Danio rerio: one gene and its partners. The protein of the gene in region 1 binds, or shares a complex with, the protein of each later gene. Links are inferred from orthologs where the notes say so. Each region holds a gene or a part of one and is shown in the gene's direction. Other genes may lie near its edges. The genes, in order: thoc5, thoc2, thoc7, chtopa, ddx39b and thoc3.

Region 1 (3,500 bases):
ATATAAAACATGGTAGTGATGTTGAAACACACATTTTGTTAAAACATGTAGCCACATGCTAGGACGCACTAGCAACATGTTAAAATGCATCTCATAATCAATGTATAAAAAAATATGCTAGCAACATAAAACCATTATTGAAAATGTTGCTATCAAGTTTTATCAAATGTAAATGGTTTTAATATGCATTAGAATTATTTTATAAAATGTTATCAAATTATGCTAGTGATGAAAACGTGCTAGTGATGTTAAAACACGCAGCATGTTAAAAAGTTAGCAATCAATAAAAACATGCTAGCAACAGTAAAGTTGATAGCAACATATTAAGACATGTTTTATCAAATTTACATTTTGTTTTAAAATGCTTTATTCATTCATTCGTTTGCTTTTCGGCTTAGTTCTTTTATTAATCCGGGGTCGCCACAGCGGAATGAACCGCCAACTTATCCAGCACGTTTTTACGCAGCGGATGCCCTTCCAGCCGCAACCCATCTCTGGGAAACATCCATACACACTCATTCACACACATGCACTATGGACAATTTAGCCTACCCAATTCACCTGTACCGCATGTCTTTGGACTGTGGGGGAAACCGGAGCAACCGGAGGAAACCCACGCGAATGCAGGGAGAACATGCAAACTTCACACAGAAGCGTCAACTGATCCAGCCGAGGCTCGAACCTGCGACCTTCTTGCTGTGAGGCGACAGCACTGCCTACTGTGCCACTGCGTCGCCTTTAAAATGCTTTAGATTATGTAATATGCATTATGCTTTAATGCTTTTGACGTTGAAACAAGCAGTGTGTTAAAACATGTAGCAACATGCTAGAATGTATTAGCGAAATGTTTAAAAATGCACAGAAATATGCTAGCAACATGATGAAACCTGTTTAAAAAAGTTGCTTAATTCTCTCAATCTGTCTGTATCGATCTAGACAAAAATCTGACTGTCAGCATCCGCGGAGACGTGGATGAAGCTAAAGCTCTTTCCAGACCGCCTGAAGACTCACAAGGTGTGTGTGTGTGTGTTCACTCTGTTTAATAAATGTTTGTGATGTTCAAGTCTTGTTCAAGTCTTTGTGATGTTCAAGTTAAGTCTTATATTTCGCATCCGTTTCTGTCTCAGATGATGAAAGTGATTCAGATGCGGAAGAGGAGCAGCAGAACACGGTCAGGCTGCGTTTTTAAGTCCTTCATGTTTATTATCTTCTAGCTGATGTGTGCTAATGTTGTCGTTTCCGCTCCGTGTGTTCAGAAGCGCAGACGGCCAACTGTAGGAGTTCAGCTGGATGACAAGAGGAAGGAGATGCTGAGACGCCACCCGCTCTCTCTCGGCATCGACCTCAAGTGTAAAGGTGAGAGGAAAAGCACACAACAGGGGAGCCTTTACACTTCTGGGCTTCTCAGCACTGGAAGTTCTTATGGTTGGGTAAACTTATGCTGTGTTCACACCATACACAGCATGCATAAATAAATCACACTATTTGTGTTTAAATAGACGTGGGGTCAATTTGAGTTTACTTCATTCGCGCATCAAATTCACTTTATTCACACGTCAAATTCGCTTTGTTTGCGCGTCAAATTGACTTCACAATAGATGCGGATTTGCGTTATAGGCAGGGCTTCTATTTGCCCGGTGACTCTAGCTTCATTGCTAAATGGTTAACATAGAATTTATTGAGAGAGTAGCTGTGCTTTATGTGCTTTAGGAAGGCTGAAAAACAGCCTTCGTCCACTAGAACCTTTTAGAGGTTTTGTAAGTTCATCAACTCCTCCAGAAACCTGGATGATGGAAGCTTTCAGCGGTGCATCAGAATGAGCCAAGCCCAGTTTGATAAGCTGTTGTCCGGTGTCAGCAGGAGGATTTCCCCTCGGGACACCAACAACAGACTTTGTCTGAATCACGCCCCTACAAGAGTAAGCTCCTGATCATCACCTCTTCATCTGCTTCTGGATTGAACGCACCATTATGCTGCGTTCACACCAGACGCGAAAGAAGCATTAATCGCGAGTGATTTTACTTGAGTCAATGCAAACGCGTGAATAGTCTTCGTGCGGTGCGATACGCGCAACTGGCGGGGCGCAAATGACGCAAATTGCGTGAATGGCATGGCGCAATACGCGCAAATGGTGCGATGCGAATCGCTCAAGTTCAAAAATCTGAACTTCAGCGGACATTCGCGCCGCGTTAACCAATCAGGAGCTTGCTCTTGTGGCGCCTGTTGTTGGTGTCCCGGGGGAAAATCTTTCTGCACACACCAACAACGGTTTATCAAGCTGGGCTCGGCTCAGTCAGAAGCAGCGCTGAAAGCCTCCATCATCTAGGTTCAGTTTCTGGAGGAGTTTATGAGCTCACAGAGCTAGATGCACCTCTGAAAGCATCTAGTGCACTCACACACGGCTCCAAACACATCAACGCTGTTTTTCAGCCTTCATAAAGCGCATAAACAGTTTTTTCTCAATAAAACTCATGTTAGCCATTTAGCAACGAAGCTAGAGTCACCGGGCAGACAGAAGCCCTGTCCACAACGCGAATCCGCGTGAAGTGAATTTGACGCGCGAATAAAGCAAAATGTTCACACATCTTTTTACGTGCGAATAGCGCGATTCATCCGTGCGTTATGTGTCTGGTGTGAACACAGCATCAGAGCGCATTGAATGAGTACAACAAATATATATTTTTGCTAAAAAAACTTTTTTGCTTTCTTCTGGTGTAAGAATGTTGGAAAAACAGCCATTGGGATCTATAGTAGGAACAAAAAAACACAACACTATTTTTAACAGTATTCTTCATTGTGTTTATACAATAAACTTAAATTTAATATAAACTATTACGTTTCATTTAGTGATTTAGATTGTGTGTTGTCCCTTTATTGGACCATTTCCACTGAGTGGTATGGTACGGTACTGTTCGGTACGCTTTTATGGCCGTTTCCACTGTCAAAAGGTATCTAAAAGCGAACCGTACCGTATTACTTTTTGGGTACAAAGCACAACAAAAGGGTACCTAGCACGACAAAAGAATACCAAATGGCGGAGTAAGACACGTAACTGAACGCTATTGGTTTACAGAGATACGCCACAAGCCAGGAGAATGAAAACAAAGGCAGCACCATTTTTAAATACACAGCCGAGACATTACACTGTAATAAGATATACATATAATAACATGCCATGGTCGACCCTAGCTCAAACAAACCTTGTCGTCATCTTGATGAACAGCCACAAAGCCAAGAAGAAGAGCAGAATCTACCCTGTGGCCCATATTTGTTTACAAGGCTATCTAATTCGTGATCGGTTTTGTTTTCCCACTTGCTCTTTCTCGATTGTGCTCGCCACGTGTCTATATTTGAAATAACAATCTTCTTGAGCTGATGATTATAACGTGTGTGTGATTATTGAAGTGCTTCTGACATCCCATCCTTTCAGAAACAGGCAAACGTGAGAGTGAAGTGCAAAAAAACAAAGGAGAAGCCGAAAAAACAAAGGAGAAAAAAAA
Region 2 (3,500 bases), on another chromosome or scaffold:
TTTAAATGACAGAGTATTAAGTGATTTTAATAAACTTGAAAAATGCTACTACTTAATTATATACACACAAATACAGAAGAAAGTCATTGTTAATAGTAAGAAATGTTTCTTGAGCAGCAAATCAGCATATTATAGTAATCGTGTGCTACTGGTAGCACACGATAACTACAATATGCTGATTTTTGAGTAAGGGCTGCGATGCATTGTGAACACCTTTGCAGTGAGGCATTAATTTGAGGTGGTAACAATATGACTTATCCGATATCAGTTAGAACAGAACAGAAAAGGTCTCCAGTTACTGTACATTACAGTTTGGTAGTGAGAACCCAACAAAAAATGTATCGGTTGGGTTCCAGTCAGGTGAATTTGGAGGTCAAGGCATTAATAGATATAGTGTTGTAAAGTATGGCTTTTCAACCTGAGAGAATTCAGAGTGTACACTGGCAAAATAAGTGACAGTGGAGGATGATTTACAGTTCGGGTTTACATGTAGATGCAAGTGAAATTACACAATTTTGGTGTGGCATATGGCCTAAAAGGTTTGGAATCCTTAATGTAAAGTATTAGAGTACATGTAATAGGTTATTTTACTTAAGTATATTTTGGGTTACTTTGTACTGAGTATTAAAGTTAATGTGTACATCACAACATTTTTAAATATTTTGTATTGAACATTTTGTATTTTTTTACTCCACTACATTTGTAAATATTTTGAATGGCATCTAACTTTTAGTTAGAGTTTGTCTGAATCAGGTGTGTTTGACAGACATACAAAATGTGCAAAATATTACAGTTCGTCTGAAACCACATACTTGCCTACATTATTGAATCTTTTATATATATATATGAGCAATATCACACGAGTAGCAGATAAGGCTGTACATAGGCACTGGTGGGAGGCATGTGTCTTACTCTCCCACCAGTGACGATGTACAGCCACATCGCACTACTATGAGTTACAACAGCTCGACAGCATAATCGTGTATATAAAACAGCAAATCAAGTCTAAATATCCTTTTGTAAGGGGAACTACTTTCTTCCGCCATTCCTTCACATCAGCAGCTGACATCAGAACAGCCGTTTACTAATTCACCAACGTCACTTTAGAGCTAGTTTTTGAATGATTCTCTAGCGTAATGTCTAAGGGGATGACAAAACATGATTTAGCTCACATTTTAAGATTATAAGGATGAAAAGCATAAAAGGCCATCGGTCTAGTTTTAGAGACATTTGCCAGTTTTTTTAGGTTGCAAAAGGGAGATCACAATAATTAACCTTGCAAAAGCCAAAGCAACGCAATCACTACCAGATTATTGTTGTGTTTGCGATAAGGAGAAAAGCTAACAAATGCAGCAATTTCTTTCTTGTAACTAGTCTGCAGTAACAAAAACAGGAGACTCATTAAAAACAAACAGATTGCCAACCAAAAAGTAACTTGGGGTTATACGAAGAGTGGCCAACACAAAATTGCATACATTTCTGATATGTGAGTCCCATCACACTCAATCTACTGCAATTACTATGGTATAAATAGAGCACCGCAACATAAAAAAAGAGAGAGATTGACTTAGAATGTCACTCACTAATTTTAGAAAGTTTTGATCAGCTGTAGTTTGAAAATATGCTGATCTTTCCTCCTCTAAGGAGTTATGTGGTCTCTGTTGCCATCTTATGGATGGACAATGTCAACCATTTTTGCTCACTCAATGACAGACTGATGGATGCCGACATGACATGGCTTTTAGCCAATGAGATTCAAGAATCAGAACTGTTGAATAAATATATGTATATGTATGTATGTCTGTGAGCATGAGCGGAGTAGTATGTTCATACTTAATATTATTGAAAGAAAAAAAAAAAAGTAGCCAAAATGTACCTTTGAATCCCAAGTCCAACTCTCTAACCATTAAGCCACAACTGCCGCTGATAAATATTGGATGTTATTCTGTTATACTGCAATAAAGATATTTCCAGAAAGCTGGAAACCTGTAACCTTTGGCTTTCATTTTTTTTCTGTTTCTAGGGAGATCACTGGTTACAGGTTTTCAGCTTTCTTCACAATAGCTTTAATGTTCATCAGAATAATAAAACTAATTAAGGTTTAGAACCACTTGAGGGTAAATAGTAAGTTTCTTTTCTTTTTTTTTGGTGAATTATGCCTACGGTTCTAAAAGTGTGTGATTGTCCTGTGGCCATGATAGCACTTGGTCTGTGATGTTCACATAGTTGTGGTGTTGTAATTAGGCATGGGATGATGGTTTGGAAAGGTCAAGGTTTTAAAACCTTTATTATGTTCTGTTGTACAGTTCCTACAGAATATGTTGTTATTGTTTTTCTAGTTTGCAGATTTTCTGAAGATATACGTTTTATTCTTGGGGAGCACTGAAATGTTACATTAAGATACTGCTCAGTTAATCATGTTAGAAGAGATCAGGTGTTTTTTTTTGTGCCCATAACCCTAAAGGCCATTTGGATGAAGCTAATTTATCAAGCTGCAGCATTTTATACATGTTTATTAAATACCACTTTTTATTGAAAGTCACTGATTACTAAAGAATAATAACTTGATGCATTCATAGATGGTAGTAGCAGCGTTGTTGTGTAAAACCAAATGGTTGACAGATTGTTTTTTGATTTTATGCTAGCTAGCACAATTCTTGAACACTTTTCACATGCAGTTTTTTGGCGCATTGTAGCTCTGATGTGAGTCATATGAAATAATTGCATATGTAAGTTCAGCAGGGGCCTTGAGCTTTTAATAGAGTGCTTGGACTTCCTGTCGGTGTGTCAGATTGTCAGGTGCAACTCTAATGGGGCATGCTAATGAAAGGCAGCAGGCCACTGTGAGGGCTAGTGTGCTCCATCTGTAAGACATTAACCTTCTATCATCTTTGCATCTGTCCTTTAGCACCATCCTAACCACACCACAGTCCTGTCCAAGATCAAAGAGAAGGATGATGAGAAGAAAGAGTCTGATAAATCCAGGGACCGCTCCAAAGAGAGGGAAAAGAAAGAAGACCGGAAGGACCGAAAACGAGTAAGTCCTCTGTATTGGAGGAAGCAGTTTTTAAGCATCACAAATGTTATTGAGCAGGACATTTTACAAGGCTTAAACCAACAAATTCTCAATAAAGCCTTTTGCTGAATCATGCTTTGTGATTGAAGCAAAACATTGCAAATCCCACTTGTGAAAGCTTAATTCACACTTAAATACATTATTTAAATTACTTGACCTTCATGCTCATGCACCAGCATATTTCTTTCATTGGTCCAGATGCCATATCATTCCCTCATGTTTTAAGAGTTTTACAGCAGTTATTAGTATGCCTAAAAAGCACTATTTTAAGTTGTGCTGTCTTTCTCCCTTCACGCTTATAGGACTACTTGAACAGCGATCGCGAGATGAGCCAGGAAGCCAAACGCCGCAAAGATGAAAATGGAATGAGTAAGCCTATCTTTTAAATTTGTTTTGCCTGCTGCCAAGAGCACGAGAGCTAGCG
Region 3 (4,228 bases), on another chromosome or scaffold:
ATGAATAGACTTGGGTCTATTGCTATGTGTGCACCAATGTGTAGAAGGTTTATATATTTATAACCACCTCAGAGGATATTGGGGGTTGCCTGTCACTGGCATTGTTATTTTGGGGCTCGCGAGTTAAAAAGTTTGGGAAACCCTGACCTACAGGTATACCTTGTATGATTACATAGAATTTTTTTGCAAATAATTCCTTTCTGAAATATAATTATTATATAATAATAAAATTATTATGGAGAATGTCCAAGATGTCCTAAAATCAACTTTACCTCATTCTCAGTCAAGCAAATTTAAAATATTTAAATTCACATTTTAATTCATGTTGAATTATTTTCATATCTACGTAAAAAGCTTTGTATTCATAAACTGAATCATAATGGCACAAACTGAACTGACGAAGCAAAAGAAAGATGGATTTTAAAACGTCTTATTATTTCATAATATACTATGTTATATGTAGCCTATGTAGCCAGAGGGGGTTCAGAAAAAAAAACCCTTACTGACAAATGTGCAGAATTTTTCCCATTCATGAGCTCATATGTCGTATTTTGACTGCTACATGCCATCATAAATAGTAAAAATAACCAATTAAAAAGGCATAATCCTCTGTTGGCTGTTGCTTCGGTGTGACTTCAGCAAATCAGTCTTGGTCAATGCTAACAAATGTTTTTGATGATCAACATCTAGCTGTGTAGGAAATCACACAATCTGACATAAGTGACGTCATCTTTCGCTACTGTTTGTAAACAGAGAAAACGTTTTACAAGTAACTTTTGTTCTAAATCTTGGAACTTATCTTGAAACTAAAAATGAGCAATAAAAAGGGTGGCCTATAGTAAAATTGATTTGAATACTAATTAGGCTATTGTTATCCTTAATTTTCAAATGCACTTTTTAACATGTAAGGCTAGAAAATTGTAAAGCTTTTATTATTATTATTTTTTATTATTGAAATGGCCAAATTCTGACTGAAGAAATTGAATGTGCTGGCTAGATTGTTATTTGCCTAATAAATGACACTAGACAATAGTTTTTAACTTAAAACTTTTTCAGATTCCTAATGTATTTTTAAAAAGCTAAATCATGATTCATAACTGAACTGACGATATTGCTCAAACAAATTGACGAGTCTTGTGGAACCACACTTTAAAACGAACTGTTCAAATGAACCGATTCGCGAAAATGAATCTCATTTCTCAATACTGTCAAAAACTAAACTAACTACCTACTAATACAGTATTTCTGAAAGACACGCTATCAGTCGACTAGTCTAAAACGAGTTTTCAGCAAAACATTTAAATGACTTTGTAATAATAAAGTAAAAGCTAGCCGTTCAGAAAACTGTTGTGAGCTCGGCGGGTTTGCTTCGCAACAGAGGCGGGGCGCTGATGCCTTGCGTGTCCGCGCGCGCCTGACAATAAAGTTTTTTCTAACAGTCCAGTTAGCCTGCTGGAGAATGGGTAGCATTACTGATGGTAAGATTTTCCTTTGTTTTATTTTTCTTAACTATCATGTAATTGTAATTTATGTAGCAAATCTGAAGGAATTATTACAGTAGCGTACGTCCATGTTTTTATTTCCTGGAAACTAAACGAACTCCTTTGAAATGTCTACATGAGGAGTCTTAGCTAACAGTTAGTTAGCCACATGCTAAAACTGATTAACTAAAACAAGTTACAAGATGTATAAGTATAATTTATTACGCTGACTTTGGTTTTGGATAGGCATTACAGTGATATAAAATATATTGGTAAGTATAATATGTAAATACGATAATATGAAAATTTGATGGCACCCTTCTGACACTTTTCAATGTTGGATCAATCAGTTAAATCAAGCATCAAGGTTGGAAAATAAACTGATTTTTTGCTGAATTTAGAGATTTACTTTGTTTCAAAAATAATCAAGCAGAATATATATATATATATATATATATATATATATATATATATATATATATATATATATATATATATATATATATATATTGTTCCACATTTAGTCACTGAATACAATTTACAGTATAATATCTGTGCTATGCTATTTAGACCTATATTTAGACTAAATAATATCTATGTCTCCTCCCTCACAGATGAGGTTATTCGGAAGCGTCTTCTGATCGATGGAGATGGAGCTGGAGATGACAGACGCATTAATGTGCTCATGAAGAGCTTCACCAAATGGTGCCACTCCAGTTTCTCACCAGAGGAGGGGTAATTTACATTCTGGTTTAACTTTATATACCTGACTTGATAAGATTTTTTTTTTCTTTTCCTTTAAAATATTCCACTGATTAGTTACCACGACCTTGGGTGTAATTACTTTATCATTCATATGTGTCTGCAGGATGTCTCAGTATCAAAGAATGATGATGTCCTTGGCTCAGTGTGAATTCTCCATGGGGAAAACCTTGCTTGTGTACAACATGAACCTGAAAGAAATGGAGAATTATGAAGGAATCTATACCGATATTGGTAAGACTTCTTGTTGACTTCCCTGCTTTTTTCTTTTGGGTTGATTGGATTATATGCTGACAAGGGAGACACATTCCTGTTTGCACTCATTGTTTTAATCTACATCTTTTGACTATATTAAATATTACTTTGAGGGCAGGATATTAGGCATGGGCCGGTATATGTTTCTGACAATATTATAACCTTGGATAAAAATATCACGGACACATGGTATTGTGATTACTGCTCTGAATTATATTCTTTTTAAATGTCTGGGTAAAAACAAAAACTTTGAACACTATATTTTACTTTGATAAAGATTTAAAGTATTTTGGAGCAGTGAATATGCCAGGCTAAATAATTCAAAATGAATCATTGATTTCTTTCCAATTTAAAACAACCTCTTTGGATATCTTTTCTGCTGGAGATACTGTTGTTCTGAACTCTATTTATACCGTAGCAAGAGTAAAGCAGAAATTTAGGACTTTACTTTTCCAATGCGCAGTATACCTTGAAAACGGTTATCATCCCATGCCTACAGGATAAAAGGGTGGGTGTTTGTGTAAGCTTTTTCAATTATTTCTAATATCGCAAAATAACCTTGCATAATAGAAAATGATACAGAGTGCTGCAGCCTTCATTTCTGCTCTGGTGGCTACAAAACTACACCAAATTCAGATCAGTGTGTTAAATCTGTGAATTGTTTATCGTAGACTCTCTTTGATCAAATAATTTGAATCAGTGAATCATTCAAGGGAGATACTCAGACTGAAAACATCATTCAAATCAGTTATTTGTTGACTCGTAAACATGTCTATCCAATTCGCAAATTAATTGTTCAGTGCAATTTGTGAATTGATTTAACTGGCTAACTGATAAAATTCAGCTTGTTCACGAATCAAGTTGGATTCAAAAGTGCAGTATTTTGTTTTGTATTCTGATTTTCAATCAGAACTTTTCAATCTGCCTTTTATCAGTGATTTTTATGGCGAGTTCAGACTGCATGATTTTCAAAGTAGTCATGTCACAGATGTTTTCACCCTGTATGACTGTCGGGGGTAGTATTTCATCGCTGCTTTGTTTACCCTGCAAGATGGATTGGCAACGGGGGGTTCACACTGTATGATTTAGAATAGGAAGAATTGGCGACAACTTTGTCCCGGTCTACAAACTACATCTCAAAACCAAGCACAGAAGAAGTGACATGGAAATAATGTAGTATATCTTTTGTCATGAACTATATAATGAGAATAAAGCCTTTAGTGGGGTAGAAAATTTACTTATTTTGCTCACTTGGCCTTTAATAGGAATTAGCAATTTCTCCTCAACTTTTTCTTTTTCGACCCGGTTGCTCAGATGACACTTCAAACAGAAACGGGTGCTCCTGCCAAATTTACACTAGTTGTTCCTCCATTTTTTGGGGTCCAAATAGACAAAATAGAAGCACTTTTAACTTGTTCCCCAACCTCCCGCTGGCCTGCAGATTTCACACGGCATGATTTGAATCGTCGACAGATCCAGCTGTTTAGCACACTGAATATCTCACATGTGTCTACGACACATCACCGATTCTCTCCGATTGTGTCTTTGATAGTTCATACTGTGTGGTTGATACTTGCGTGAATGAGTACCTATTTGCCTGTGATTTCAGGCATTTTTTGCAATTTCTTGAAACCTGTTGTCGAGTCAAAAATCAGGGCTAAAATCATGCAGTTTGAATTTGGCATTATTTTGCTGAGTGTTCTGTATTTTTATAGTTATTATTTTTTTGT
Region 4 (3,994 bases), on another chromosome or scaffold:
TCTCTTCACAGTCTAATAGTAATGATTACAGTAAATGATCTAAATGTATTTATATGTATTTTTATATTTTGGGTAAGGCATAAAACAAAAAAATGTTCATCCTATTAAATGGAGTCCGACCGACATCTCTCAATTCCGATAAGTAGCACAATCTCTTTGCAAGCAAATGCAGATTTGAACAACTGCGCAGCTGTTTGTACGCATCTCCGCCGACTGAGATCGGTAAAAACATGCTGAATCAAAACTTTTTAAAAACCTGAATCAGTATTGGAGTTACCTTTGCATGCTGGAGAAAGGATGACAACATGTCTGAAAGATTTCTCTTAGACAAGTAATGTTCTGTTTTAAAACTGTTTTAACTTCACGCAAAGCTGATGTAACGTTGTTACAAATGGGTTAAATCTTAACAGAAATGTTGTTCAGCTACTAAAATATTTCGATGAAGGACTGATGAGACTATTTTCAGTTTCATAAGAGACCTTTTACAGCATCGATGATGTACATTTTATTTAGTTTAACAACTAAACACAAGTAAATACAGCTAAACGCCTAGTCTCTCCCTATATTGTTTACCATGCAACTCTAAATATTCCCTCTAAAATCGCATGTCAGTTTGGCTTGCACGCCGCCGGACAAGCACTAGTTGTTTTTAACACATGAGAGAGGGTTCTTTTGCGGTGCTCGTGTTTCAGGAGGCGTAGCTCTTAGACGGCAGGGGAGGCACTGTGATTCAGAGATTTATGCTAAGCTGTTAGCATTGTAGAAGATCACCTACTGCAACTTTAAGTTAAAGGTTTGATACTGATTAGCACTTGCAGTAGTGATGAGGTCTTAAAATATTCCGAGAAGGTCTTTTAAACCGTTTTAAAAAGGTATTGAAATTACCTTTTAGGATTCTTGCATATACCCTGTTATAGCTCTTGGACCAGGGTGAGATCAACCCACACTTTCTCCAATCCCTGGGGCTCTATGATGGTTGTGGATATTTCAAATTGAATCATAACAAATGATTACAATTGACTGAGATTGTCATTGAACGTTCGCAAATGTGCTTTAACTGGCAGAGCAGCAAAATCTCTCTCTCTCTCTCTCTCTCTCTCTCTCTCTCTCTCTCTCTCTCTCTCTCTCTCTCTCTCTCTCTCTCTCTCTCTCTCTCTCTCTCTCTCTCTCTCTCTCTCTCTCTCTCTCTCTCTATATATATATATATATATATATATATATATATATATATATATATATATATATATATATATATATATATATATATATATATATATATGATCAGACCTGCTTAAAGAGAACTATTGCATGCATCCCACAAGTGTTTTTTCTTTTCTTCTTGTGAAAAGATTGCTCTTTTTTTTTTTTTTTCCTAGGTGCAGGTCAGATGAGAGGTAGAGGTGGTCCTGGACGCATGGGTTTCCGCCGAGGGATGCGTCATCGGGGAGGAGCTCCAGGACGAGGAGCTCTAGGAGGTCGAGGTGCAGCACGTGGAATGCCTGGAGGAAGAGGTGAGAAATATTAAGCACAATTCTGCCAAGTACAGGGTTCTTACGGGTGCTGGAAATCCTGGAAAATGCTTGATTTTTAATATAGTGTTTTTAAGGTTAGAAAAGTGCTTGTGTTTTGAACAAAGTGCTTGAACCTGCTTGAATTTGAACTTAAAGGGCTCAAAATTGTGACCGTTTTGGTTGCATATGCGCACGATTTTATCTATGTGACCTCGAAATATATTTGGAAGCATGTGTGCTAGTGCATAAATTGTTGTCGTGCGACCAGTTTTCATTGCAAAATGTTCACCGCATGCGCGTATTTATGGAGCTAATAATAAGCCAAAACATTCTGAATCTGAATGTCCTATTAAAAAAAGTTTTGAATTTGTATTTCTTAACTTGATTATTGAACATCTGAAAACTTAATATTTGAAGTCAGATTTTTATAGACATTTTTAAACTTCAGATTTTTTTTGGGTTCTGAATTCATGCAGATATTGGGTATGTAAAAATAAGACTGCAGATATTGGGTATGTAAAAATAAAGTTTTACGTTTTTAGGAATTCAAATTAACAATTCAAATTCGGATAGTTTTGGCACTATTAGCTTCATACGTATTTTGGAGACATTCATCCAGAATGCATCTTTTGCACCTGAAATGCAAAACCAAAGACTGTAAAAAAAAAAAATAGTGACTGGTCCTGAAAGTTTGGTACTACACCCAAACAAAATCTGACTGTAAGCTCATTTCTTAAGATATCAACTTTAGGTAGAAAGAGGCCAAACTTAAAAACATACTTCACCCAATAACTGAACATTTTTTTATTTATTTTTTAATCACTTTTGGGTGAACTATCCCAATAAATCTATGCTCTAAAGTACTCAATTTAAGTTGAAATGTCATATCGTGTGGTTTTTAAAGTAGCACAATGTATTTAAATGTGAAAAAGTACATACAACATGTATAAGTGCAATTAATTATTACTATTAGGTGCTGGAAAAGCATGCAAATGCACCTTGAAAGTGCTTGAAAAGTGCTGGAATTTGAAGTTGGAAAAGGTGTAAGAACCCTGCTAGTAGTGTTTTCAGTTTTGCTCTAATCAGTGAAACCCATACAAAAAGCATTTTCCATCTCACCATACTAAAGCATTTCGTTCTCTCTTAGGCCGTGGAGGTATGAGAGGCCGTGGAGGGTTTGCTGGAAGGGGTCGTGGACGTGGCAGAGGCAGAGGAGCAGGTCGTCCCATCGTCACACGCGAGCAGTTGGACAACCAGCTTGATGCGTACATGTCTAAAACCAAAGGCCATCTGGATGCAGAGTTGGATGCGTATATGGCCCAGGCAGATCCTGAGAGTATGGAGTAGACCCTGTTGAGCTGAGACACAGCAGCTCCCAAAGATCTGCAAATAATAGACTGATCGATGACATAATCATCCAGTACCGTTTAAGCTTCCGCTGCTGTTGGACACTCCCTAAGACATTTACATTTTAAGGCGTTCAGACTTGAAGTTTGTACAAAGTTATGAATTTATCCCAGTTACATTCAGAGATTTGAGAGTTTTCACTCGCGGCTTCTGAATACAATCACAAATCCTCATCACAAGTTATAGTTCTAAAACAGAGGGCCTGTTAGGAAAAATGTTGGCTGTTAAGTGAAGGAATTTTGTTGTTGATTGAACTGTAATAAGAGATTGTACCTCTGCTATTTTTGGCTGAAATTCTGAAAATGGCCTAAATGTGTGAACAGTGAACTCCAAATGACATTTGATGACTCTGTGGTAAAAATGTGGCTTGTGTAAATGAACAGATGTTAATGACTGTAATGTTCTACACGTCACTTACCTTTTTATTATTATATTTTTATTTAGTATTTTTTAAGGTAGAACTTTTATTCATTACATACAGTCTTGTTTTTGTCAAAAAATGTTTTAACTATATTGTAACCCACAAACTTTTTTTTCTTTTTTCTTTTGGCATCGAATAAATCTTGGCTAATAAGATCTTGTGCTCTGGAGGACATTATCATTCTAGACATTCATTTTCATCACCGGGAAACATCCATCCATACATATACACGCATACTCTGCGGCCAATTTAGCTTACCCAATTCACCTGTACCGCATGTCTTTGGACTTCTGGGGCAAACGAGAGCACCCGGAGGAAACCCATGTGAACATGGGGAGAACATGCAAACGCCACACAAAAATGCCAACTGACTCAGCTGAAGCTTGAAACAGGGACCTTGCTGTGAAGTGATTGTGCTACCTACTGTGCCACTGTGATGCCCTCTTTCTAGACATCATTAACATGAATGATCATGTGGTATTCACTTTTTTTCTTCTTTTTTTCTCTTCTCCAACATGTTTTAATTTTAGTCTAAAAAGTAGATACAAAAGTGGTTTATGTATGCTTATTAAAAAATGTATAACTTTTGTTTCTGCTTATTTGGTAATAAAAAAAATCATTTGAATGTTTAAATTGTGCATGCTGCATTTCTCTC
Region 5 (4,210 bases), on another chromosome or scaffold:
GTACAAGCCATTCTCATAACCATGTTCTTTGTGTGACTGAAATGTAGGCAATGAATGACCAAGGCCAAGGTGAGAAATACACTCTGTCTTTAAAAAAGGGGAGGAGACCAACAGAAACTCAGAGTTTAGAGAATAAAACCGGCTCCTGACCAGGTTAGGTTCATAGAGTAAGTTACCACGGTAACTGACTCTGAGTTAAAGGGTAAAGTCTAGATCGGATACACGGCTGGCCGAAAGTGCGATCTGCACATCAATATAGCAGCATTTTGTTATGACACTGTATAACAATAATGAATATTTGTACAATACTGTGACGGTGGGGTTTAGGGTTGGGCTGGGGGAAGGCGTTAAAAAATACAATTTATTGTATAATTTAATAGGTAACGTAAATTATACCCAGTACAACTACTGTTTCTACATTACTTTGTTGGTTGAGTTTAGGGTTGGGGTGAGGGTAGATGTTAATAAAATACAATAAACGGGGGATTTAATAAATAATATAAATAATTCTCTTCACCTTCCAGCCGTAAACATATTCGATCTAGCAACAACCAAGTCAAAGTTACCTCTCTTTCAGAAACAGGCTTGACTTACCCTGCTTTCTCGAGTTTGACAAACCTGCCATTTTAAAACGGAAAACCCAAAATTTCTCTCATTTCAGGGTTAAACATACTCTGAGCTATTACTTAACTTCCTTTCTGAAACAGGGCCAATATATAATCTCATAAAATATTATATAAATTACTTATGACATATTAATCTTACTCTCACCTTGAACAGAGATTTTGAAGGAGCATCGTGGGCAGGTGATAGTATTCAGCCTGCTGGGTAGTGGAAGAATGTTTCCACATTCAGGACAAAAGTCGACATCTCCTCTAAAACACGACATTTCTTAAAGGAGAGAAAAAAATGTTAGTAACTAGACTTTAGTCACCAATAACAAAAATTAACCATAGTACAATAACACAAATAATATAAAAACATGGTAATTTTAGTAAATCACGTAAGAACTACAAACTCACCATGTTTTGCTACACTACCCATAGTTTATTGGTTTTTGACCAAAACTAGTGATTTAAATCGTTTTTTTTATTAAAAAATAAATTGGAGACTACTATAGTATTGCAGTATTATATATTGTATTGTAAAGTTTCCTGTAATAAATTAATAATCTATAAAAACTACACACGCACACATACGTACATACATTTTTTATATAACGTTAATCAAAACTAGAAACTTACTTATAAAAGCGCCAACACGGCGGTCTTAAATATTACCAGATGCAAAAATCTTGCGATATGTACGCTAGTTATAGTAACAAATACAAACCAAATACAAACTTCTCTACAAACTGAGAGGTTTTTACTCAAGGCAGTTCCACATGTTGGGGTCCTTCGTCAAAACAGTAGATTCGTCGCGAGTTGATGACGTTGTAGACAATCTATCTGGCAGGTGCAGTCAAATCCAACTGCTTCAAACAGTGTTTCGAGGTATTTGCGATTATTTAATACTATTAAAAACCACAATCGACATGAGAAGTGATAATACACTTTATATTCCGTCATAAAACATTCAGCAATGTAATGTCGTAGTGTTTTGACCACACGCTGCCTATTTTGGGCTAATGGATTAGCTAACTAAGTGCTAATGTGTTACGTCTTAAATCGTTTGTTAGTTTAAAGCGACATAACTGATTAATTACGGGTGTGTGGGCTAGCATAAAACATTATCTATGAATTAAGTTTTTTTTTGCTATTGTAGTGCTGGAGAATGGGGTTTTATTCTTTAATATATTGTCTTGATTAATAGTTGTTGAAAAGCTACAAGTCTCTAGCTTTTGTGTATATATTACACAAACAAATATAATCGAATACAATTTAAGCAAACACGCTTTTCTAAATCACGTGTATGTCAAAATATTGTGTTCCGTAATCAATTAATTTTGTTTGTTTATTTATTTGTTTAAAAAAAAAAAACTTCTGGCAAAAGGAGAAATTTGTTCTGACTGTGGTTTCACTGAATGATATTGTAGTGTGTGTCTTTTTATCATGGTAAAACAAATTTAATGATATTTCATATTTTTTTTCTCAGAAAAAAATAACAATTAAATAGGACTAATGTAGAGCTGGGCCGATAAACGATATTGTATCGAATTGCGATACAATTTATGTCACAACAATGATAAGCTCTGGACCTTTTTACTCTGTATTGTGTATCTATATACTCTAAATCTATATTACACAGCAGAAATGTGCAAACAATGGGAATATAAACGTGCGTTGATATTAAGCATGGGACAATAGCAGTTTTCAAGGTATACCATAGTTTGACTGGTTTTAATTAATTTCGACCAAATTGTTCTGCTTTACTGTTCCGAAGGTATGTGTGAGATTTTTTATTTACATTTTTTTTTTTTAGGACAACAGTATCTCCAGCAGAAAAGATATCCAAAGATGCCGCTATAAATTGTAAAGAAATCTGTGTTTTGAAACTAATAAAGACATCAGAAGTCAATGATTCATTTGAATTATTTAGCCAGACATGTTTACTGCTCCAAAATACTTTGTTTTACAAAATAAAATGTATTGTTTTCAGATGGGAAATAAACTCAGATATTTAAAAATAATATATTTTAGAGCAGTAATCACAATGTTGTGAAAGTGGGATATTTTTATCCAAGGTTATCATACCGTCAGAATCTTATACCAGCTCATACGTAGTTGATATTAGAAATGTACCGAATCTTCGGCCACCGAAAATGTATCAGTCGAAATTACTTCACGCCATTCAATGGACCCTCTTATTTTTTCTGGCTTTAGTCATTTTTGGAATACTCTTTTAAATCTGGCATATTGACAACTGATATCAAAATATATATCGTTATCGTTCAATATGGAAAATAATTATCGAGATAGCATGTTTGCCTCATTGCTAGAGCTGGGTGATTTGGCCTAAAATCTAAATCTCGATTAATAAAACATTTTAAGTCTATTACGAGTAATGAACAATTATTTTATTTATTTTTTACCCTCACAATTCACTGACAAGTTTTACACAGATAATATGTTCCATATTACAAGTGAGAGATTTTTGAATGAAGGGTGCATTACTTTTTTTAAATAATTGAAGGAAATACACTTACAACAGTAATACAACAGTATTTTTACTTATAAAAAAGTGAAACTAAATAACTTGCATTTTTGAAAACAAAACAATTTATTTTCAGTGCTTTATCATATTAAAAGTAGAAAATAAGCAGTATCTCTTCTAGATAAAAAAAACTTGTATATCCTGTAAATAATTTTTTAAGTAGTGCATTTCTTGAATCTTTTGTAAACAAATATTTTAATGTAAATAATATTTTCTTGTAATAGAAATGTCAAGACATCTCTGGCGGAGCTTCCAATCATCGTCAATGTAATGCAAACTTGCGATGTGTAGTTACATTTTTCAAAAGGCTTGTGGGTATGCAACCATTCAGAGGCTGTGTCAGACCTTATCGATTTAAAAGTATGTTTAAAGCAGAAGTATAAATCAGCTTTAACAAAGAGTAGTCACGTGACTCCACATGCAGTTAATTGAAAAAAGTGTCCTGGAAAAAATTAGATCCATAATAGGTTCGGAATGTCGATTTCAATTACTATACGATTAATCGCCCAGCCCTAGATTAATGAATGAAAAAAATACAATTCTTATGTTGATACGCAAAAAAAAAAAAAAAACTTTCAGCATTACACCATGTGTATATATATATATATATATATATATATATATATATATATATATATATATATATATATATATATTTATGTGTGTGTGCGTGTGCGTGTGTATACATATATATATATATGTATATATATATATATATGTATATATATATATATATATATATATATATATATATATATATATATATATATATACACACACACACACACACCTAATATTGTAGGAGATAAGATAAAATAATGTTTGACTGAAAGAAGTGCTGTCACTTGGATTAGTTTTAAATTTATTGTATGTATTCTCTCCATAGAATGACAGAGAACGATGTTGATAACGAGCTGTTGGACTATGAGGAGGATGAGGTAGATGCTGGTGGTGCAGGGGACGCAGGCCTTGGACACAGCGATGGCATCATATCCATCAGGAAAGAAGGCGTCAAAGGGTCATATGTGTCCATCCACTCCTCAGGGTTCAGAGATTT
Region 6 (4,182 bases), on another chromosome or scaffold:
TGCACTGGATATTATTAGGAGGATGGAGCTCCGCCGTGTGGTCAGTGGGAGTCAGCGCTGTACGTGGATTGACCATGGACTCTGCCCGCGAACTGATGTCCTCTTTACCAAAAACACTGATGACAAAACTACTTACACAAAGTACACAGAAAATAAACTTTATTTTTATATGTAGCTACTCCTGACTTTCTAAAGTTCCTACAACCATCCAAAGTAGCCTACCACAGTGACCTGACTTTGAGTTCTTCCATTACACGAGAAGACAATTTAACAAACAACATAAAACACAGTAGGCCACTGACTGAAGTTTAAATGATCTGATTTATAAATGAGGCTTTTGGCTTAAATTATATATAGCTCATATTCCATGATTTTGACATTTGACAGTTTTGACATTTTTATTTATCTCAATGTTTTCAAAGCTTTTTGCCTATAGCCTAGCCTAGTTTACTTAGATTTGGTAGACCTATGATTGTACTTCACACTTATATGAACTTTTGGCATAATACAAACCTTTTGTTTCATTTTTATGAGATATAATATAATTTTGACCTTCTCTTAATTGACCATTATTTGATTTAGGATTTTCATCTCACAATGTTTACCCCATCATTTCAACTTATTTATCACATTCATAACAAATTAGCACATTTTCATATTTTGTCATTTTTTTAACCTAATAGCAATTTTTACAAAAAAAAATAATAAAATTTCTTCACTGTTAACTGTTTATCTCATAATGTTTACTTTTGTGATTTTTTTTTCATTTTATATCATCATTTTAAATTTAAGATTTGTATCCCTAGTGAAACTGCTGATCATATATTTGTTTTTTATTTGCCCTCATGCACAATGCTTTTGGATTGAACTTTTTTTTGGTTATTCATTGCAAAATACTAATTCGTGTTATCTTTTAAGGATATCCTGTTGGGTTTTTTCAATATTCCCGATAATAAAAGTAAGGAGTGTTTCATAATTAATCTCCTTTTAATCCTTGCTAAATTCCATATACACAGCTGTAAATTCTCTCACTCTAGGCTATATTTTGTTTTAATATTTTTGAAAAGGAACTTCAACAGTACATTAAAACTATTGCTTCCTTAAAACACATGATTTTATAATATGTGTTGTTTGTTTTTTAGTAAATTTTTTCCCTTGTATGTGCTTATTTGATGTTTTACTTCTCTGTAAAACTCATGTGCTCTCTTTGTAACAAATGTATGATGATGTTATTGTTACCCTGACAATAATAAAACTAAAAAAAGAAAAGAAAGTTATTTGTATCAGACTTTTTTAAACAATATTATGTAATTGCACTCCCGTACACTAGGTGTCGGTAAGTAACGCAATGCCACAGATTAAGCTTAAATACGCGACGAAGCAGAACTTCAAGCATGGCGTCCTCGTACTATCAGGAGATGCAGGAGGTGTTCAGGAATAACAATAAAAGCAGAGAGTTCCCGGCTCACAGTGCTAAAGTGCACTCGGTGGCCTGGAGCTGTGATGGAAAACGACTGGCGTCCGGTTCGTTTGACAAAACTGCCAGCGTATTTGTCCTGGAAAAAGACCGACTGGTGAGCTTTGTCTTCTCCATCATCCTTCGTTGTCCAAAACATATATTTAATTTATAAACCACGTTCTGCGTAGAACAAGCTGTTTAACATTTAATCTGTAAACTAAACTAGTATCAGTTTTATGCTACTAACGTTAATACCTATTTTTAGATATGTGTGTCTTTTTCATTAAGTACTGATACGTATTCAGTACACTTGTTGATATTTAGCCAACAGTTATTATTTAGCTACTACTACAAGTTAGTTTTCATTAGATGAATTTTAGATTCATTTTAGACAATAAATTAGACACTCGTAGCTATTAAATAGGTACTACTCATTAATTAGACACGTATGAATAGTATATTTTTGTTTAAATACTATTTACTCATCATCACACACTTGTTCTCATTTATTTCATACTAGTATTTATTTCAAAAGTGTCAAGTAACTACTTCTATCGCAGTCTGTTATTGGAATGTGAGGTTTTTAATAATTGTCTAGTACATATTTTTACTATGACTAGTTATTCTGCAAGTACTGATATTTGGGTGGATTTTATTGGAAATAAGGGCTTTTTCAATATGTACTAGTGTATAATTGTTAGACACACAAAGTGATCACGCTCTACAATAAGGTTCCATTGATAATGTTAACTAATTTACCAGCATAACCTAATAATAAACAAAACTTGTACAGCACTTCCATTCAGGCATTGGACAATAACCGTTTTCAAGGTATACCACGGTTAGGAAAAGTCAAGGTTTTAAAACCTCCAACATTTTCTTCTATACCATTCCTATGGTATATGTACGATTTTTTTTAATTTATGGTTTTTGTTGTTGTTGTTTTAGGACAACAGTGTGTCCAGCAGAAAAGATATGCAAACTTGTTTTACATGTTTACTGTTTTAAAATATTTAAAGTCTTTCTCAAAATAAAATATATTGTGTTCAAAGGGGGAAAAAGTTTTTAGTCTTTTACCCTGACATTTAAAAATAATATATTTTAGAACAGTAATCACAATACCGTCAAACCGGGATATTTTTGTCCAAGGTTATCTTACTGTCAGAATCTTATACCTACAATCCCATGCCTACAAAAATCTAAAACAGCTCTCATCTCCTGATGCAAAACAGCGCTCATCTCCTGATGCAAAACAGCACTTGTTAACATTAGTAAATGCACTGTGAGTTGGCAAGAACCAACAATGAGGCTTATTTTCAGTAAAAAACATTAACAAAGATGTATAAATACTGTTTGTTGTTTTTCATTATAGTAACCTCATTATCTAATGAAACCTTATTGTAAAGTTGTACTGTCATATCTAATAAATGCTTTGTTTTTATTTAGAAAGCAGTATTTACTTATTAGATACTCCATCATTTATTAGAAACTCATTCTTATTACAAGTACCTCTTTAACAGATGCTAGTAGTTATTTATTGTATCCTAGTACTCATTTATTTGGCACAAGTATTTTTATGTAGTTGTTATGAGTTGCTACTAGTATTACGAGTCACTACTGATTTTTATTTTTTATTTTTACTTGTCACATTTTGACTATTTTGGATGACTGTATAAGTGTTCAATTAAACATGTGCTAGTTAAATAAAGATATAATAAACATGAGTAGATGGCGTTGTATGTACTAGTATCTTTTCAGTATGTACTTAATGAATAAGAACTAGTTTCTAATGATAATCGGTAGCTAATGAATTACTACCAGTTTATAAACATTGTCACAATCGGAATACATTGTGAAAACTGACATCTTGTGACAATTGTGACATCTCAATGACAGACCTGTACAGAAGTCAATGGCAAATACCTAATCAAGTTACTAATTAATTTAATGTCTGCAAAATTACTTATCATTTCATTGACATTATGCATATTAATTATGTTTTAGCTGCAATAACAAGCTTTTATAGGTCATCCATTTGCCAAAAACATTACTATACTTATTCTATATCAGAAAAAACGGTTAATATTCACAGCATTGGCTACAATGCGGTTTATTATTTTACAATTTATTTGTCTTGACTAGATGTGATCTAGCTCATGTATTATCATATGTATTAGGTGAAGGAAAACAACTACCGTGGGCATGGAGACAGTGTGGATCAGCTGTGCTGGCATCCCACCAACCCTGATCTGTTCGTTACTGCATCAGGAGACAAGACCATCCGCATCTGGGATGTGCGGACCACCAAATGCATGGCCACAGTCAGCACAAAAGGTGAAGCTCTAAAGCTTAAAGTGATAGTTTACACAAAAATGAATACTCTCTCATCATTTACCCACCATTGAACACAAAATATAACATTTTAAAGAACATTGGAAATCGTTACTTATTGACTACCGTAGTATTTGTTTTTCATTTTATGGATGGCAATTTCCAACATTTTTCTAAACATCTTCTGTTGTTTTTAACAGACAAAATAAACTCAACTTTAGAAACTCTTGAGGATTGAGCTATGGCTTTCAATGTTATATGTTTTATTCTTGTGAGATTATATTATTTATTGGTTTATTGATTGTCTGACTATGTTTAGGGGAGAATATCAACATTTGCTGGAGTCCTGATGGTCAGACCATCGCTGTAGGTAACAAGGATGATGTTGTAAC

Evidence for each region.
Region 2: thoc5 (region 1) and thoc2 share a complex: the UniProt entries of both Homo sapiens proteins name them as parts of the transcription/export (TREX) complex. The link is inferred for Danio rerio from reciprocal best matches to the Homo sapiens genes THOC5 and THOC2.
Region 3: the proteins of thoc5 (region 1) and thoc7 are in contact, whole or in part, in a cryo-EM structure (PDB 7APK), measured with the Homo sapiens proteins. The link is inferred for Danio rerio from reciprocal best matches to the Homo sapiens genes THOC5 and THOC7. Residues at the interface, in NP_001002877.1 of Homo sapiens: Pro48, Asp51, Tyr52, Tyr55, Cys59, Leu62, Gln63, Met66, Ala67, Gln70, Phe95, Lys99, Leu101, Asn102, Ala105, His106, Arg108, Leu109, Gly112, Arg113, Gln115, Thr116, Ala119, Lys120, Val123, Tyr126, His127, Leu130, Leu133, Glu136; in NP_079351.2 of Homo sapiens: Ala21, Asp23, Ile27, Leu30, Val31, Phe34, Tyr50, Met53, Leu54, Leu57, Cys60, Glu61, Met64, Gly65, Thr67, Leu68, Val70, Tyr71, Asn74, Met78, Tyr81, Ile84, Tyr85, Ile88, Glu89, Ser91, Ile92, Ala95, His96, Lys98.
Region 4: thoc5 (region 1) and chtopa share a complex: the UniProt entries of both Homo sapiens proteins name them as parts of the transcription/export (TREX) complex. The link is inferred for Danio rerio from reciprocal best matches to the Homo sapiens genes THOC5 and CHTOP.
Region 5: thoc5 (region 1) and ddx39b share a complex: the UniProt entries of both Homo sapiens proteins name them as parts of the transcription/export (TREX) complex. The link is inferred for Danio rerio from reciprocal best matches to the Homo sapiens genes THOC5 and DDX39B.
Region 6: thoc5 (region 1) and thoc3 share a complex: the UniProt entries of both Homo sapiens proteins name them as parts of the transcription/export (TREX) complex. The link is inferred for Danio rerio from reciprocal best matches to the Homo sapiens genes THOC5 and THOC3.

The regions. Positions count from the first base shown.
Region 1 is NC_133200.1:4,392,251-4,395,750, forward strand, and holds part of thoc5 (THO complex subunit 5 homolog), read left to right. Parts: intron 1-936; coding exon 937-1,014; intron 1,015-1,127; coding exon 1,128-1,171; intron 1,172-1,256; coding exon 1,257-1,356; intron 1,357-3,500. UniProt on the Homo sapiens protein: Component of the THO subcomplex of the TREX complex which is thought to couple mRNA transcription, processing and nuclear export, and which specifically associates with spliced mRNA and not with unspliced pre-mRNA.
Region 2 is NC_133189.1:13,039,634-13,043,133, forward strand, and holds part of thoc2 (THO complex subunit 2), read left to right. Parts: intron 1-2,908; coding exon 2,909-3,037; intron 3,038-3,378; coding exon 3,379-3,445; intron 3,446-3,500. UniProt on the Homo sapiens protein: Component of the THO subcomplex of the TREX complex which is thought to couple mRNA transcription, processing and nuclear export, and which specifically associates with spliced mRNA and not with unspliced pre-mRNA.
Region 3 is NC_133186.1:21,694,068-21,698,295, forward strand, and holds the start of thoc7 (THO complex subunit 7 homolog), read left to right. Parts: upstream 1-1,428; 5' UTR 1,429-1,459; coding exon 1,460-1,478; intron 1,479-2,095; coding exon 2,096-2,216; intron 2,217-2,349; coding exon 2,350-2,477; intron 2,478-4,228. UniProt on the Homo sapiens protein: Component of the THO subcomplex of the TREX complex which is thought to couple mRNA transcription, processing and nuclear export, and which specifically associates with spliced mRNA and not with unspliced pre-mRNA.
Region 4 is NC_133194.1:26,306,949-26,310,942, reverse strand, and holds the end of chtopa (chromatin target of PRMT1a), read left to right. Parts: intron 1-1,376; coding exon 1,377-1,511; intron 1,512-2,658; coding exon 2,659-2,858; 3' UTR 2,859-3,494; downstream 3,495-3,994. UniProt on the Homo sapiens protein: Plays an important role in the ligand-dependent activation of estrogen receptor target genes. May play a role in the silencing of fetal globin genes.
Region 5 is NC_133194.1:29,755,195-29,759,404, forward strand, and holds the start of ddx39b (DEAD (Asp-Glu-Ala-Asp) box polypeptide 39B), read left to right. Parts: upstream 1-1,410; 5' UTR 1,411-1,493; intron 1,494-4,039; 5' UTR 4,040-4,040; coding exon 4,041-4,210. Other genes in the region: polr1h (DNA-directed RNA polymerase I subunit RPA12), read right to left, coding at 772-889. UniProt on the Homo sapiens protein: Involved in nuclear export of spliced and unspliced mRNA. Component of the TREX complex which is thought to couple mRNA transcription, processing and nuclear export, and specifically associates with spliced mRNA and not with unspliced pre-mRNA.
Region 6 is NC_133189.1:29,777,475-29,781,656, forward strand, and holds the start of thoc3 (THO complex subunit 3), read left to right. Parts: upstream 1-1,382; 5' UTR 1,383-1,394; coding exon 1,395-1,574; intron 1,575-3,636; coding exon 3,637-3,793; intron 3,794-4,109; coding exon 4,110-4,182. UniProt on the Homo sapiens protein: Component of the THO subcomplex of the TREX complex which is thought to couple mRNA transcription, processing and nuclear export, and which specifically associates with spliced mRNA and not with unspliced pre-mRNA.